Linked DNA regions of Caenorhabditis elegans. The protein of the gene in region 4 purifies or fractionates together with the protein of the main gene of each other region. This does not show direct contact. Each region holds a gene or a part of one and is shown on either strand. Other genes may lie near its edges. The genes, in order: F13E6.1, asg-1, nuo-4 and mpc-2.

Region 1 (3,925 bases), on a different chromosome or scaffold from region 4:
AATGGAGTGTTTTTTTTTTGAAAATTTGATAACATAATATTTAACTTGGATGTCCTTTTTTCTAAGACTTTTCACGAGGTGGGAATAAAATTCAATCGAGAATTTCGAAACTTTTACTGAAATAATTCCAAAAAATTGGAATCGGTTTATTTTCACTGTTTGTTTCGTTTTCAAAGCATAATCCTTCAGTTCACTAAAATCCAATTTTATATTTTCCGGCTTCAGCTGCGTGCTCTTTTCATTCCGTCATCTTTTGTCATCCGTCCTTTTGTGCACTACATTATGTGTTTCGAAGTAACAAGAAAATAAGAAAAATAGCTGTCATTCATATTTGCTTGTGCTGTGATGCTCATCTTCTTAAATTCTGGCGTCATATCGACAAAAGAGTTGCATTTTCCTTTGCCTTCCTGAAACTCCAACTTCGAAACAAACTCTGCGTGATTCTTTGAAATTTATGCAAGTGTGCCCCTTCTTCCACTCGAACCCTCCCACACTGCTTGCCTCCGTTATTTCGATGTTCCTCTTTTCTCTTTCTCCTCCATTTTGGCATGTCATCCATTTGAAGCCAACTAACCCTCCAAAGAAGAAGGAGACGCTGCTCAACACACCCCCGCAATAATACACATAAAATGAACATGCAGTAGTGTTGTGGTTTGTTTGCAATTTTATTGGTTTTAAGTTGAGTCATGTGACCCCATCCATTTTCCTTTTCTATTGTGTTGTCAGTATGAACAGTCCTTCTGTTTGTTTGTAGGTGAAAAGTCTATGTCTTCTGTGTAGCATGGGGAAAAGTGACGTTTCGAAAGTCGATTTCGTAACTTTGCCGTTTGGAAAACTAATCAGCTGCCAGGCCACAGTTTTACATTTTTAATCAAAACAAGAATTTTTATGACTAACAAAGTTTTTGCCCCTGCTGTATTTAACTTTTTCTGACATGCAATTGTTTCTTGTGTAGCATAAGTCTTGTTATAACCGCTTTAATATCCAAACCTTTAATTTTTGCTGGAAAGTTTATCTTATCACACTAAAAAATAAAAAGAAGACCATACAAGGAAACAGATGAAAAAACAAATGCCTTCCTTGTCTCATTGCCTTTGTTCTCCCATCTCATTCATTTTTTCTGTCGAATTACGTCTACTTTACTCTACCCTTTCAACTGAACTAAATAGATGAACTAATAAGATATGACTAGTGGGCACAACAGAGGCAAGTGGACAAGAGACCGTGTGTGAAGAGGAGGGCTAGTAGAAACAGTGATGGGGGGAAACGAAAGAGGGCTGCAGATATCGATCGGTCGTTTATTTGAGCGACCGCCATACACGTATCGCTGTGTGAGTGTTAGTGAGTGTCTGCCTGTTCTCCCTCATACAGTTTTTGTTATGATCGCCAACATTTTCATCTTTGTCGTTTATATCTTCTTTTAAATTTGTTTGAAATCTAAGTGAATTCAACTCCAAAACTACTACAAGATTCGAATTAATCCGCGCTCTGAATAATCGTTAATAATTTTTCTTACGCATCTATATGCTTCCAGATTTTTAGCCCATCCCACTTTCAGTAGATGTTTAATTGCTTTTGTGAATAGTGTAATACATGATAAAAGTTTGGTGCAATATGATTTTAATTTCAAGGAGCTCGAAATTTTGACAGAAAAAGGCGCGTTTAACATGAAAAAATTTTAGTTGATAAAATTTGAAAACAGCTCGTAATTTTTGGAATTCCTTTTGATATTTGTTACAGCTACATTTTTGATTTTAAAATATCATGTATTTCAACAACATTATGTTATAACCCCTTTCACTCATATTCATTTCGTCCCCCGTAGTTGTTCGTTTTTCTTTGTTTTTCTATTAGCGATTGGTAGTGAATGTAAACAAGAATTTAGATAGAAAAATGCCAAAGGGAAACAAGAAACCTAATGAGAAAAAAGAGGAGCTTGAAAAATTTGCAAAAGAATTGCAAGGAAGTGATTCGGATGAAGATGCTGTTGTAATTGAACAACCGACTGTTGAGCCTAAACTGCCACAAAATGATAGTTCTAGCAGCAACAGTAAGCATTATCAGAGAAATGTCTTCGAAAATGAGTATTACAATTGACACATTTCAGAAATCGTGCTCTCCCAAGCAGAAAAGGACCTTTTGCGCACTGAATTGGATAAGGTAAGTTTATTTTTCTATTAAATAAAAACGTGAACTAAATTTCATCAATTTCAGACCGAAGAAGAAATCTCAACGCTGAAGCAAGTCCTATCTGCCAGACAAAAACACGCCGCCGAGCTCAAGCGCAAGTTGGGACTTACTCCATTCTCGGAACTCTCTCAGGACATCAACCGCAGCTTGAAAACTGTCACCGATACCGACGCGTAAGTATTCTATTTAGAAAAATTTTAGCTGTAAAGGAATTTTGAGGTGCACTCATTTTATTGAAATAAATATTCAAAAAAAAAAGAAACAATCGATGTATTATATTAAACGACTGTCCAAGAATATTCAAACAGTACCAATACTGACTAGTGAAAAAAAAAGAATTTTGCATGCTGTTAGGTAAACTTGCGTTAATGGAAAGCAATATATTGATATACAGTTTATAGTATTAAAAAAAAAAAGTTCGATACTTAAAAGTTTATTACTGTGGCAACAGTGCTCATGGTTAATAAAAAATTTATGTTGAAGCACGCATAACATGCAAAACAATTTCAGATACCAAAAAACCGCTGAGGTAGCCGCCGCCACGTCTGACACAGTTAAAGAAAAGTGGAATGACATGAGAAACTCATCACTGTTCAAATCCTTCGAGTCAAAACTTGGTTCTGCCCTCAACAACGTCAGTATTCCAATTTTTTCTGAATTATCTGGATTTGTTTCTAAAATGAAACTATTTTTGGCTTTCAGGCTAAGATGGCTGCTTCAACATCGATTGATCATTTGGCGGGAGCTGCTCGTGGTCCAAGTCAAACCGGAACCCCAGTTGCGGAGGAGGCCAAGCCAATCTCTTAAATTCATTCATTTCACATACCAATATGTTGTAAAAACACGTCACTACTGGGATATTTCAATCTAATCGTCTTTTCTTCATTCTATTCTTTTCCTGTCATTAATATCGCCACTTTGTGAATGATTGCGGCTTTTTCTGCTGAAAGTATTCGATAATGTTTTGAAATGTTCTGAATCCGCATCCGCATGGCACATGTATTCATACCTATTTATTAATTTTGTGTTTAAACATTACTTCAAAAATTTATTTTTCTTATGTTTTAAAAATGAATAAATCGGAAAACGTTAACACTTTAAAAAAATTTAAATTTATTTTCAAATAAAATTAAAGTTATGTTTTATTCACCAAGGCTCGGTCATAAAACTACTACCTGCGTTGCTTAAGAAAGGTATCGAAGCGTATATCCTAATCGAATATCCGCCTGACGCAGGGACTTCTTGGTATGGACAAGTAGATGTATAACACTGAATCAACTACTGGTCTACGATATGCAAAAAGTAAGTTATAGTGTTTTGAATTTTCTTGAAACTTGAATTTGTTTGGTTCAACACTATTCATCAAGATTTTTGAAAATTGAGCTTTTAGTTAGAAATCATATTTAATGATACCTGAAGTGAACAAATAACAAACAACTGTCAAAAAATTTTTTAAATAACTACTTTTCAGCATTAATGATAATTAGTACTTTCAAGTAACATGTAGTAATCGAACTTCTGACTAAAAACACTAATTATGGAAAAAGTGAATATCTTGGTAAAATTGGAAAAATTGTAGCGTTTGAAAAGTTTGATTTAGATTTTTCAATTAATAACAAATCTGAATGTTTTATGAAAATCTGAATGTTTTCTGAAAACACAAAAAAAAAGAACCTCCAGGCATTGAAAGACAAGTTAAAATAAAGTTTGACAGCACCAATATGAGATATTAACA
Region 2 (2,962 bases), 4.9 Mb from region 4:
CAGAGGGAAAGTACACGGTTACTGCTGAAAAGTTGATTGAGACAATGACTGCTGGGGGGAAAGTTAAACATGCTGGAATAACAGAACCACCTAGCAACACAGCAAACACCATCATGTCCGAGTCCTTGGCATCAATTAATGCGAGATACAAGAAGAGTTGTGAAAGAAATGCTGTTTTCATGAATACCTTGCACGGTACTATTGAATTCAACAAGAAACAAGTATCTGTAGATAAAACCCTCTCTACAAGTTCAATAAGCCAGGATGATGCGACCGAGTAAGAATTTCGAAACTGATTTTTCTCTAACGAGTTTTATTTTTAGCGCTCCGAATCAAATCATTTTTGCTCCAACAATCACTTCTCATGTTTTCAAAGGCCGATCTCTGAAAAGACAGTATGCAGTGAAAAATAAGGCACTTGAAACTTTTGAGGAAGATCGGAAGGATTACACTCGAGAGGCTGGAGAAGAAACTAGTGGATTGTAATTTTTTGTATTGAACTAGAAAAATAAAGCCTTAATTTCTTTTATCTAACAAACGTTGAAGAAAAAACACATATTTTCACAAATGAATATGCTTATCGATGTATTAAGCTTCGAGGGCAGCGAGTCTCTTCTTTTCGGCAACCTTAGCCTTTGTATCCTTCGAGACATAATTGGCTGGAACAATGTACCCGAAAATGTAGCGACGTCCAATCATTTCTCCGACAAAGAACCAAAAGACTACCTCGAGGGCAACTGCCGAGTAGACGAGACTTTCCTGAAGTTATTTTTTATTGAGTGTTGTTTCAGCGTGTAACAAATTACCTTGATACTAAGGTTGACATATTGCTTGGTCTCAATAAACTTCTGGAGCTTAGCCCAGTCCGCCTTGATAGCTGGGATGTCAGCAGACCGGGGTGGAGCCAGCTCGTGCTTTCCAACAGCCTTGAGAATAGCGAGACGGCGTGGGAACTGCTGAGCTTGATGACGGTAAAGAGCTCCAAAGGTGTTGGCCAACTTTTCGAAGAAGCTCAGCTTGTGGGTCGCCATCGCTGAAAATTTCGAGTGTGAATGAGAGAATGTGTTTCGAAATTAATAAGGCAATAAAATTGGGAGACGAGGGAATCAATTATTGAATAGATCATTAAAATTTATTTGTTCCTTAAATGAAACTTAATAGAAAGGGAATAATGTTGCCCATGAGTGCTCATTCATTAAAAAAATCCCCCAAAATACAAGCAGCCCGTTTTAATCAAGACAGTAGTATATTTGAATCGTGGTGGGACCCTTTAAGCAATCGAGAAAGAAATCCTTGGTTTTTTTAATTCAGCGAGGCTGTCCGCAGTTGAGCGGCACGGTGTTTGCGGACTTTTACAAACCGTATCTCATTGAGTTCCAAGGCGCCGTGGAAATTTTTTTTGTTTTAATTTTCATGAATGATTAGATTAATTAATATTAAGTCAGTTTTGAACGGTATTTTTGTTCAATTTTCTATAATACTTTCAGATGATAAATCTTCGAAGATTTGTGCACACATCGTGTCGGCTGGAACGAGGAAGAACAGCGTTCTACAACGTTCATCAAAAAGTGGGTGGAAAAAAAAACAAAACTAGCCACAATTTGATATATCATTTTCAGGTCACCGACCCAGCCAAGCAAGATCCGGATTACTTTGAGAAAAAAGCGAGAGAACTGCCACTGGGTGAGTATATTCAAGTACCGAGATATATATCTCTATTAAGTGATTTTCAGATCAAAACTACATCGATGCACTTACGAAGCTTTACTACGAAAAAATTGGCAGTGAACGCGATTTGGGTTTGAAAGCAGCTGATAATTTGGTATGATAATCAAGAGTTTTATAGATATAAGCAATATTCTTGCAGATTCTCGAAAAAACCGAATTCGGATTGCCTCGTATTGAAAAATCGAAAACTCGTGCGAAATATGAAGATTTAGATGTTCTTTCGAATGCTCCAGAGTCTGTCAAAAAGATTTTTAGTGTTGAAATGGCGACGAGAAAAGAGTTGTCACAAGAATGGAAACAAAGTCTTATCAAATCAGTAAGGCAGCATTCTCTCGATGAAAATAGTTTGGAAATGAAAAGTTTGTTTGAGAAATAATCACAAAATATTATCTAAAATTAATTTCAGTTGCCTGGCTAACGGCTTTAATTCGGCATTGGTCTCTTCTTGTTAATGACATTGGACAGGAAACCAAAAAAGTAGTTTAACATTTTAAAAAGGCAATATTTCTAACATTTATTGCAGAAGCCAACATGGCTCACCCATCGAATCTGGCTCGTAATCAATGAACGCCGTAAAGCTCTTCGTATTTTACGTGAACGTAATGAGACTGCATTCGAGAAAACAATTGCCGCTCTGAAAATTTCGTATCATGTACCGAAACAGCCAGCTCATGTGAAAACTAGAAAGGTAAAGTTTGCAAATTGATAACTTTAAACACTAAAAAAACAACAAATTTCAGGCATGGGCCGAAGCACAATTAAAGTTGAGAGTTGAAAATGAAAAAGAGAAGCGATTGGAAGAATTGCACGAAAAGTACGATAAAGAAGTTGAAGAGCATAAAAGAGAGACACAAGAGAAGAGGAAAGCATTGAATAATGAATTGGATAAAGTAAGCAAAATATACACTTTGAAAATACCCTTTTTAAAACTAATTTCTGAAACGTTTCAAATTCAAACGAAATTTCAGCTTGCTCAAGAAATGCGCCAAATTGACGTTATCGAAGGAAAATCGTTTGAAACAGTTGGAAAGTATGAACCAGCTTTAATCTCTTCACTTACTGAAACTGTTATTCATTCAAATCTCTTCTATCATCCACCACCAACTATGACTGAAAAATAATCTCATTTAGAAGTTCAGAATTTTTTTTGTTGTAGTAGGATCTTTCTTATTATTGTTATGCTATTATTGAATTAAAATTTATTATCCCTCCATGTTTCTATTATGATTTCGTT
Region 3 (5,061 bases), on a different chromosome or scaffold from region 4:
AGCACACACAGCAGTGACGTCATTTTCGACACGAGTCACTCGCGGCACTAGAGAGACTCTAAAGATTAAAATAAATTTTCAGTAGTACGGTAAAACCCAAACGTGGCAATATAATATGAATAAAACCCAAAGTACGCATAATTTGAAAAGTGTGCGTGGGGTAATAGAGAGAATAGAGAAGCTGTCCTTTTTCTCTTGAAAAAGAGCAAGTCCTCTTTTCTACATCGTCCTTTTTCTTCATCTTCTTCCAGTTTGTCTATCTTTTCTGCGTCTCTTCACTCTCAACTCCCCCCACTTTGTCGACCACGGGGTATCCCCGTTGGTCTTGTGAAAGTGAGATAGTATTGTGAATCGAGATATCACTAGAGAAACTGAAAAGAACCCCACGCGAGGCACAGAGAAACTTCTCCGGACACTCTTTGCTTTTTATTGTCTCTAGCCGTTTCTCTGCGTCTCCAGGGTTCCGGTGTATTCTATGAGGTGTGTGCTGGCTCTATGCCAAGTCAAGGAATCGAAAAAGCTTTTGAATTCCAAATTTCTAGTAATTTATCATTCAAAAAGGTGAAAAGTAAATAAGGAAAGTTCAGAAAACCAAGAACAAAAATACAAGTAAACAATAAAAATATAAAAACCCTTTATTTTCGCATTAAATTTTCTCTCGGATCGATTCTTCCTCTACTTACTATAAAATAAAAATATGAATACAAAAAAGAATTAACACATAATAAAAGGCGAACCGATTTGTGATTGAAGAATCAAATCGAAAACAGAAAATCGAAGACGACGACGACAAAAATCTACGAAATCTACTGAAAAAAAACAGCTTGGAGCGATGAGAATAAGAGATGGATTTAGTGATGATGGTGCACATAATCCGGATCGTATGAATCCGAATCCAAATCCAGCGATGTCTCGTGAGATGTCAAATCATCATAGTATGCCTCTCGGAAGTAGTATTCATACCTGAACAATAGAAAAATGTTAATTCGAAAAAAGAATTTTTTATAAAATTGAAAGTTTAGCTATACGGATTTTTAAAAAGTACAGCTTTAAAAAAAATCTTATGCTGTTGCTTTTGAACTTTTTAAAATGCAAATAACATAAATAAGAATTCAAAGGTGGAGACTATTCGAATTTTTGCTTCAAATGGTAGAAAATAGACCGTAATGTCCGAATATCATATATTCATGATTCATTTATGTGGTAATTCAAAAATAATTTTTAACATTTTTGAAAATTGAAAAAATTTATAATTTTTTTGTTTTCGGTATTTTCGGTTCATTTTCTATTACTTAAAGCAAATTTTCAAATTGACTCTACTCCACCTTCAAGTTAAATTTCAAATATTGAAAACAACTTACCATGGTTCTGGAAGATGGTGTCCAGTGTGCCATGCATTGAGTCCTGCTTGATGATCACCATTCTTGGCAATATATCCATAGCCATATGGTGACTTGAGAACCTCTTTACGCATTACGTGAAGGAAGTGTCCAGTATCACGTGGATTTGTGTACAGCTCTCCAACTTCGTGTTTTGGAATTCCATCGAATGCAAGCATACGGGCATCGTATTTATTGGTGACACTAGAAGATATTATATATTATACAATGTGGATGAAACTTTTAAAATTCAATTAAAATACTTTCTCAATGTTATATCAGGGCTGTAGATTTTTACGATATTCGTAAATCGTTTTTTTCGTGGTTTTTACAAAAATCCATTTTTTGCATTTTTTTTTCAAAAAAAAAACCGAAAAATTCTGTTACCCTGTCGCTGACTGAAAAACACATACTTGTTTGTTTTTAATTTATGTCTTTCAGTATATCAAAATTAAAAATTGTGTTTTTTTGCTCTTTTTTTTGAATAAAGCGAAATACATTTTTTTTGCTAAAAACACAAAAAAAACCAAAAATCTTTTGCCTTGATGGGGACACAATTTCGCAGAAATCATTTTCTGTCCATGTTTGCAAAATTTAAAAATAAAAAAAAAACAAGTTTTGGCCAGTTTCAATTCCTAGAATGTTAAATTTCCTAAAAATTTTGATGGCTTTTTTGTTGGTATTTTCAATAAATTAATCGTTTCGTTTTATCAATGAAAATGTATGATCTCGAATATATTTCTCAAAAAAAAAACTCACTATTGTCTCCATCCATTCCATCCAACTGAATCAACAATTGTATTCCACTCTTCCATAACATCACCACTGTGCCATTCAAAGAAGTCCAAGTCAAGTCGTTCGATATCCTTTAAAAATTATGTTTTTTTTCTTTTAAGAATTTCGAACTTTTCCTTACCTCAACAACAGCATCCGTGTCTCCTGGTTTTGTCCAGTCATAGGCAAGAATCTTCGAGTGATTACGGTATTCACGAAGTGAATCCTTGTAAGACTCCTCAATTGTTTTTAAGTAACGCTCGTCAACTGTTGCAATTTCGTCTGTCTGAAAATTAATAAAATTTTGAATATCTTTATGAGAAATCTAGCTTACGTTTCCTCGTCTCTTGATATTTTCAAGGCATTTATTGGTTGGTGTATTCAAATAAACAACCAAATGAGGCCAGAAATGTAGTTGAGGAAGAGCATTTTTACGGACAAAGTAATAATGCTTGAAGTCTAGAAACAATTATTTTGAAAGAAAATTCATGAATACAATAAACGTACATTCATGTCCAATATAATTCTTATCTCTCATTGCATTGGCAAAAACGAAATCCGAATGTGGAGTACGTTCGAGCACAACTCCTTGACCGGTATTGAGAATATGAGCAAGTGCGTTGAGATATTGATCGAAACGGCAGTTGAAAATGCGATCTTGCATGGCAGCTGAGAGTTCACCACTTGGATTCTTATAGAACATGGAAATGTCTGGAAGACGGTAACGAGCTGGGAACTGGAATAATATTACATTTAAGAGTTAGGTTGAATTATTATTTACTTTATTATAATAATTGCGAAGATCATTTCCGTAGCGATCGACGAGAATATCGTCCATTCTAAATTCTGGGAAATGAACGAAGCCGAGTTGATCAGCAAGTTGTTTGGCTAAAGTTGTCTTTCCGGATCCAATATTTCCTTCAACAACGATAAGCTTGGAATTTTGATGGAAATGAGAACGAGTGTCGTCTTTTAATCCATCAATATAATTGAATCCATTGTGCTTATAGTCCCATGGTTCTGGATGTTCAGATGGAAGTCTTAGAAGACTTTTATGAACAACTCCTCTGACTTGATTTGAGAGTGCTCCTGATCTGGAGCAGGCCAGCAAACCGGTTGCCAGCCCTCCCAATTTGCTCATGGAACCCGGCATGATGGTCTTAACAAGGAACAAGATAATAAGATTAAATTGGAAAATGAACAAAATAAAATATTAGAATAGGTTTGAAAACCATTAGAAATAAATTATTCTACAGAAAATATTGCAATTGAAGCTTTATTAGAATCTGCCCTCGAATAGTTGAACTTCTGAGCAGAAAAAAGTCAATAACTTAAAAATATAAATTAGAAGATACCGTTCAGGTTTGAAAAAGTGTTTAGGAATACAAAATGATTTGAGAGGACGAGATAGAAAGCAGAAGGAAAAATCGGTAAATTTCAGATCGAAGGATACAAAACAAACATAAAAGCGAGGAAAATCCACAAGGCCTTTGGTTTCAGAATCAACGGCGATCACCATATCGACCTCCACCACCACCTCCGCTACTTCCACCACCGCTTCGATATCCACCACCGGATCCTCCACCTGTACTGTATCGGCTTCCTCCACGGTCACCTCCTCTATCACCTCCTCTATCACGATCACCTCCGTATCCACCACCACCACTTCGATCATTGAAACGATCACGGCCTCTGAAAATATTAATTAAAACAAGTGAAGAAAAATACAAATAAGATGTCGAAATCTTATAAAAACTAACCCTCCACCGAATCCGCCACCTCCACCGCGATTATCTCTAAATCCGCCCGATGATTCTCGTCGATCACGATCATTTCCTCCACCATTACGGTAAGAATCTTGACGTCTATCCCGACTACCACTTCTTTCTCTATCTCGATCCTCGTACCCACCTCCAAATCCAGACGCAATTTCACGTTCTTCAATGACTGATTTAGCTTCGCGAGTTTTACGAGTATCTCCTTTTCCACCGCCAAGTCTTCTAGGCAACCATGTCTTCTGAGTACGACCTCTTTCATAGTCGACAACTAGACGTTTACCATCAACTTTGATTCCGTCAGCTTTTTTGTAAGCGGCTGAAAATAATACTCGAATATTATGTTCAATAAGGAATAAGGTGAGAGAATACGGATTTGTGTGTCTACTCAATAAATATCTTACCTAACCTACCAAAAAAGCGCTCACAGGCCTCCATGTCATTCGCGGAATTGACTACTTACCCAACCACTTACCCGCGATTCAGAAAATGTGTTAGACTTCAAACTTACAGACAAAACTTACGGGAAAACTTACAAAAAGCGGCAAGAAACTTACAAAAATAATCCCAAGATGATTTTTTTGATGTTTGTGAGGAAAACTTACAAAGCGTGTACCTTACCCATTCAAAAAATAAAAAAATAAATCTGAATTCTTGGATTTTTTCCTAATCTAGTAGCCTAAATGAAATTCAAAGACCTAGTACTAAAAAAAGAGTTTATATCAGAAATTTTCAGCTTAACAAATTAATAAAGTTTTTAAATGCGATAATATGCCTAAAACCTTTTTAGCAAGCGTGCAATTTTAAATAATGTTTTTTTTCTTGGAAAGACTCGTTTCTTAAAATGCTAATTCCTTTTTTTTTTAATTTCTTGTTTTTTATTTGAGCTCACCAACAAACAAACCTATCAGAAATTAATCGATAGGAGAGTTGCGCGCTCTGCCATTCCCATTCATTTCCCAGGATTTCACAATGGCCGCGTGGCTGTAAAAATTACAAAAATAGGAGCGTGTTCCTTGAAAATTGGTTTTTAAAATAAAATTTCTGTTGTTTTTTTGAGCAAAAGGTTCAGCCAATGATTTTTTGTTTTATGACAAACAAACTGCAACCCACTATGCATCTCAGCCTTGTCA
Region 4 (3,149 bases):
AAAAAAAGAACAAAACTAAAAAAATAGTAAAATCGAAACCTTTTTGATTAAAAGCTGTGAAAAAAAGGAGAAAAAACAGTGCCACTGGGTTGCGAATTCACGCTCCGCATCTCTTTCTGTGTGAAGTGTCAAGTTGCCTTTTGCAAAATTCAAGGATCGATTGTTCAAAAATTTCTCTACAAAATCGAACAATTTATAGAAATTTGGTTTTCCAAATAAACACATTTTTATTCAAAAAAATAAAATAAATGTTTTCAGTGACCTGGAAGCCCGTCGCGAAGTGAAACGTGAAGAGGGAGAAGCATTCGCACGAGAGCACGGACTCGTATTCATGGAGACATCTGCCAAGACGGCTGCCAACGTGGAAGAGGCGTTCATCGACACTGCCAAAGAGATCTACCGTAAGATTCAAGAAGGCGTGTTCGACATTAACAATGAGGCAAACGGAATCAAGTTGGGACCACAGCACTCTCCAAGCTCACCAAATTCTCCAGGTGGAAATGCGACGGGAGGATTGGGCGGTGGATCTGGATGCTGTTAATTTTTGATGATGTTTCTTTGAATGAGCTTTGAATGTTTTAACTAAATCGTTTGAATACCAATCTTTTTTATGTTTCCTCCTCTTTTCGAATGTCGTTAGGCACTTTTCTAGTCTCCTTTCTCTCTTCCAGAACCATAATTTTACTTTACATATATATTGCAATTGTCTCTTATTACTACCATCATTTACTGTATATTGTCGCCTGCTTTTTCTCTTTCTCCTCTCTTTCTCTATTTTCTCTCCTTTTCATTCAGTCTCTCACCAATTGTGTGAATATCTGAAATTCCTGTGATTTTCCACTCAATCCATCAGAACAACATGTTGTGAAAATCCCGCTCTCTCTCCCTCATTTCCTCTTAAAAGTTTGTATGTAAGCTCTACTTCTTTTTTCCTTTTCTAATTCTTTCCATTTAATTACTATACGTCTCCAAGCTATCAAAATTTTCAGTGAAATAAATGAATTTTATGAGCGTTTCGTCGAGGATGGAATATATTTTTCTTAAAGTTGAAGTTCTTTTTGATTATTTTCTACAGATTGATTGATAAAAGATTGAATTGATAAGAATATGGGGAGAGACGAAAATTTAGAAGAAATTAGTGGCAAGATTTTTTTTTTGGAAACTTTACAAATATGGTTTCTTAGAAGATGCGAAATTTTTCGATTTTCGTGCCAGAAGTACTGTACCAGGTCTCGACACGACAATTTTTGTTTAATGTGAAAAGGTGCGCGCCTTTAAAGGGTACTGTAATTTCAAACTTTTGTTGTTGAGGAATGTTCTTTTTTTCATGTGCTTTTATTGTTATATTTTAGTTTTTTAATCGAAAAAAATTAGAAAAATCTATGAAAATTTCTCAACAACGAAAATCTGAATTTACAGTACTCTTTAAAGGCGCACCTTTGGTTTTTTTTTGCAAAAAAATATTTTTCGCTTTTTTCGAAAAAAATGTGCGAACCTGTCGCTATAATTGAAAAACTAGCATTTTTTAAAAATATTCTTACCAAAAATAAAAATTTTTTACCAAAAAAAATCAGACATCGATGACTCTATTATGTTCTCTGAACATTGGTTAACTTCTGATCTCTTTGATATTTTTTCTTCTTAACAATTTTCTCATTTCTTCTTTTTTCTTCTCTTCGCAGATTTCGAAATCAAATTTAATTTCTTCATTTTCAGCCCCACAAATACACCTCAATGGGCCCACATCGTCTCCTCTACCAGGCTCTGTGCAAAGCCGGAGATAAATTTGTCTATCCGGTGCTTCCAGCATTCGCCAAGCCGGCTTGGAATCATGCGGCCGGTCCGAAAACTGTATTTTTCTGGGCCCCAACCATCAAATGGACTCTTATCGGCGCTGGACTCGCTGATTTGGCCAGACCTGCTGATAAGCTTTCTCTTTATCAGGTAGGGATTTGTGAAATTTGTTTTCTGGTCCCGCAGCGAAAACTGGAGTGATAATTTGGTGTGTGTGTGTGCCTTTAAGGTTACTGTAGATGTATTGATTACATATTTTTAGAGGTTTTTCTCGTTGTTTTCTTCTCGTTTGTTTTTCTTTTCAAAATGAAGATAATCTCTACAGTAACCTCAAAGGCGCGCGTGGCGAGACCATTCCGCATAAACGCGTCCTCCTTGAAACTCGTAGAGGTGGATACATGAAAATGAGATAAATTTCTAACTAATCTAAATTCTAGTGTTTTCTTCTCGAAAACTACCGAAAAAAGCAATATAATATGCATTAAAATCTAAATTTTTCAGAACTCTGCTCTCTTCGCCACTGGAGCCATCTGGACGAGATATTGCCTTGTCATCACCCCAATCAACTACTATTTGAGTAGTGTGAACTTTTTCGTCATGTGCACCGGGCTCGCCCAGCTCTGTAGAATTGCACATTACAGGTATATTCAAATTTATTCTATTTCCCTGCAATTATGTATAAAATTTAGGTATCAAAATCCGGATTGGGAGACGAAGGAGATCATGGAGACCCATAATTAAATCCATAATTTTTCAAGATTTAGGAACGACAACGAGTGATTTGTATACAGGCATACACAATACATACAATAAAGATTTATAAATATGAATAAAATTTGAATTTAAACCCTTTTCTTCGATATCATATGTGGATTAACTCTTAGAAATATTTTTATTTTTTAACACAAGTTGAGCTTCGAACTTCCCTAATAACAAAACACTAAGCTTCCTGAATGTCGGAATGCGGTGTCCAATGTATTCTATCAATAATCGTTGTTGGATTTGTGTGGGGAGCTACTAATCCATTGCTCAGAGCAGCCTCAAAAGATCTGGAGAACAAAAAGAATGGAATAATCCTGGGATTTTTGAAATCTTTTCTCAACTGGAGATTCTCAATCCCTTTCGCTCTTAATCAATCTGGATCGGTGAACAAAACACATTGAACAAGTTATATAGAATAACAATGTATTTTAGGTAATGTTCAACGCTCTTGTTGTAAACTTTCCTGTTACTGTTGTTGTTCCGTGTGTGAATGCGATTCAGTTCATCGCAACAATTACAGTCGGGTGGTTGATGGGAGAGAAAATGCAGGTGTCCACAAGGAAGCAGAAAATTGGAATGACCATTTCATCGTT

What was found.
Region 1: the proteins of mpc-2 (region 4) and F13E6.1 fractionate together in Caenorhabditis elegans (co-fractionation; one large-scale study listed by BioGRID). This does not show direct contact.
Region 2: the proteins of mpc-2 (region 4) and asg-1 fractionate together in Caenorhabditis elegans (co-fractionation; one large-scale study listed by BioGRID). This does not show direct contact.
Region 3: the proteins of mpc-2 (region 4) and nuo-4 fractionate together in Caenorhabditis elegans (co-fractionation; one large-scale study listed by BioGRID). This does not show direct contact.

The regions. Positions count from the first base shown.
Region 1 is NC_003284.9:10,675,070-10,678,994, reverse strand, and holds F13E6.1 (D52 family tumor protein), read left to right. Parts: upstream 1-1,885; 5' UTR 1,886-1,893; coding exon 1,894-2,050; intron 2,051-2,107; coding exon 2,108-2,160; intron 2,161-2,214; coding exon 2,215-2,363; intron 2,364-2,700; coding exon 2,701-2,824; intron 2,825-2,892; coding exon 2,893-2,997; 3' UTR 2,998-3,283; downstream 3,284-3,925.
Region 2 is NC_003279.8:8,691,017-8,693,978, reverse strand, and holds asg-1 (putative ATP synthase subunit g 1, mitochondrial), read right to left. Parts: upstream 1,034-2,962; 5' UTR 1,032-1,033; coding exon 807-1,031; intron 760-806; coding exon 589-759; 3' UTR 511-588; downstream 1-510. Other genes in the region: K07A12.5 (Pre-mRNA-splicing factor SYF2), read left to right, coding at 1-277, 324-486; mrps-15 (Small ribosomal subunit protein uS15m), read left to right, coding at 1,488-1,568, 1,620-1,683, 1,734-1,822, 1,868-2,087, 2,135-2,205, 2,252-2,416, 2,469-2,618, 2,697-2,849. UniProt on the Caenorhabditis elegans protein: Mitochondrial membrane ATP synthase (F(1)F(0) ATP synthase or Complex V) produces ATP from ADP in the presence of a proton gradient across the membrane which is generated by electron transport complexes of the respiratory chain.
Region 3 is NC_003281.10:7,155,498-7,160,558, forward strand, and holds nuo-4 (NADH dehydrogenase [ubiquinone] 1 alpha subcomplex subunit 10, mitochondrial), read right to left. Parts: upstream 3,313-5,061; 5' UTR 3,307-3,312; coding exon 2,935-3,306; intron 2,890-2,934; coding exon 2,661-2,889; intron 2,613-2,660; coding exon 2,488-2,612; intron 2,440-2,487; coding exon 2,296-2,439; intron 2,246-2,295; coding exon 2,139-2,245; intron 1,584-2,138; coding exon 1,362-1,583; intron 964-1,361; coding exon 852-963; 3' UTR 529-851; downstream 1-528. Other genes in the region: rnp-7 (U1 small nuclear ribonucleoprotein 70 kDa), read right to left, coding at 3,656-3,845, 3,914-4,247, 5,042-5,061.
Region 4 is NC_003279.8:3,825,503-3,828,651, forward strand, and holds mpc-2 (putative mitochondrial pyruvate carrier 2), read left to right. Parts: upstream 1-1,716; 5' UTR 1,717-1,734; coding exon 1,735-1,944; intron 1,945-2,295; coding exon 2,296-2,435; intron 2,436-2,483; coding exon 2,484-2,535; 3' UTR 2,536-2,643; downstream 2,644-3,149. Other genes in the region: unc-108 (Ras-related protein Rab-2), read left to right, coding at 259-541; F53F10.8 (Transmembrane protein 234 homolog), read left to right, coding at 2,748-2,939, 2,989-3,149. UniProt on the Caenorhabditis elegans protein: May mediate the uptake of pyruvate into mitochondria.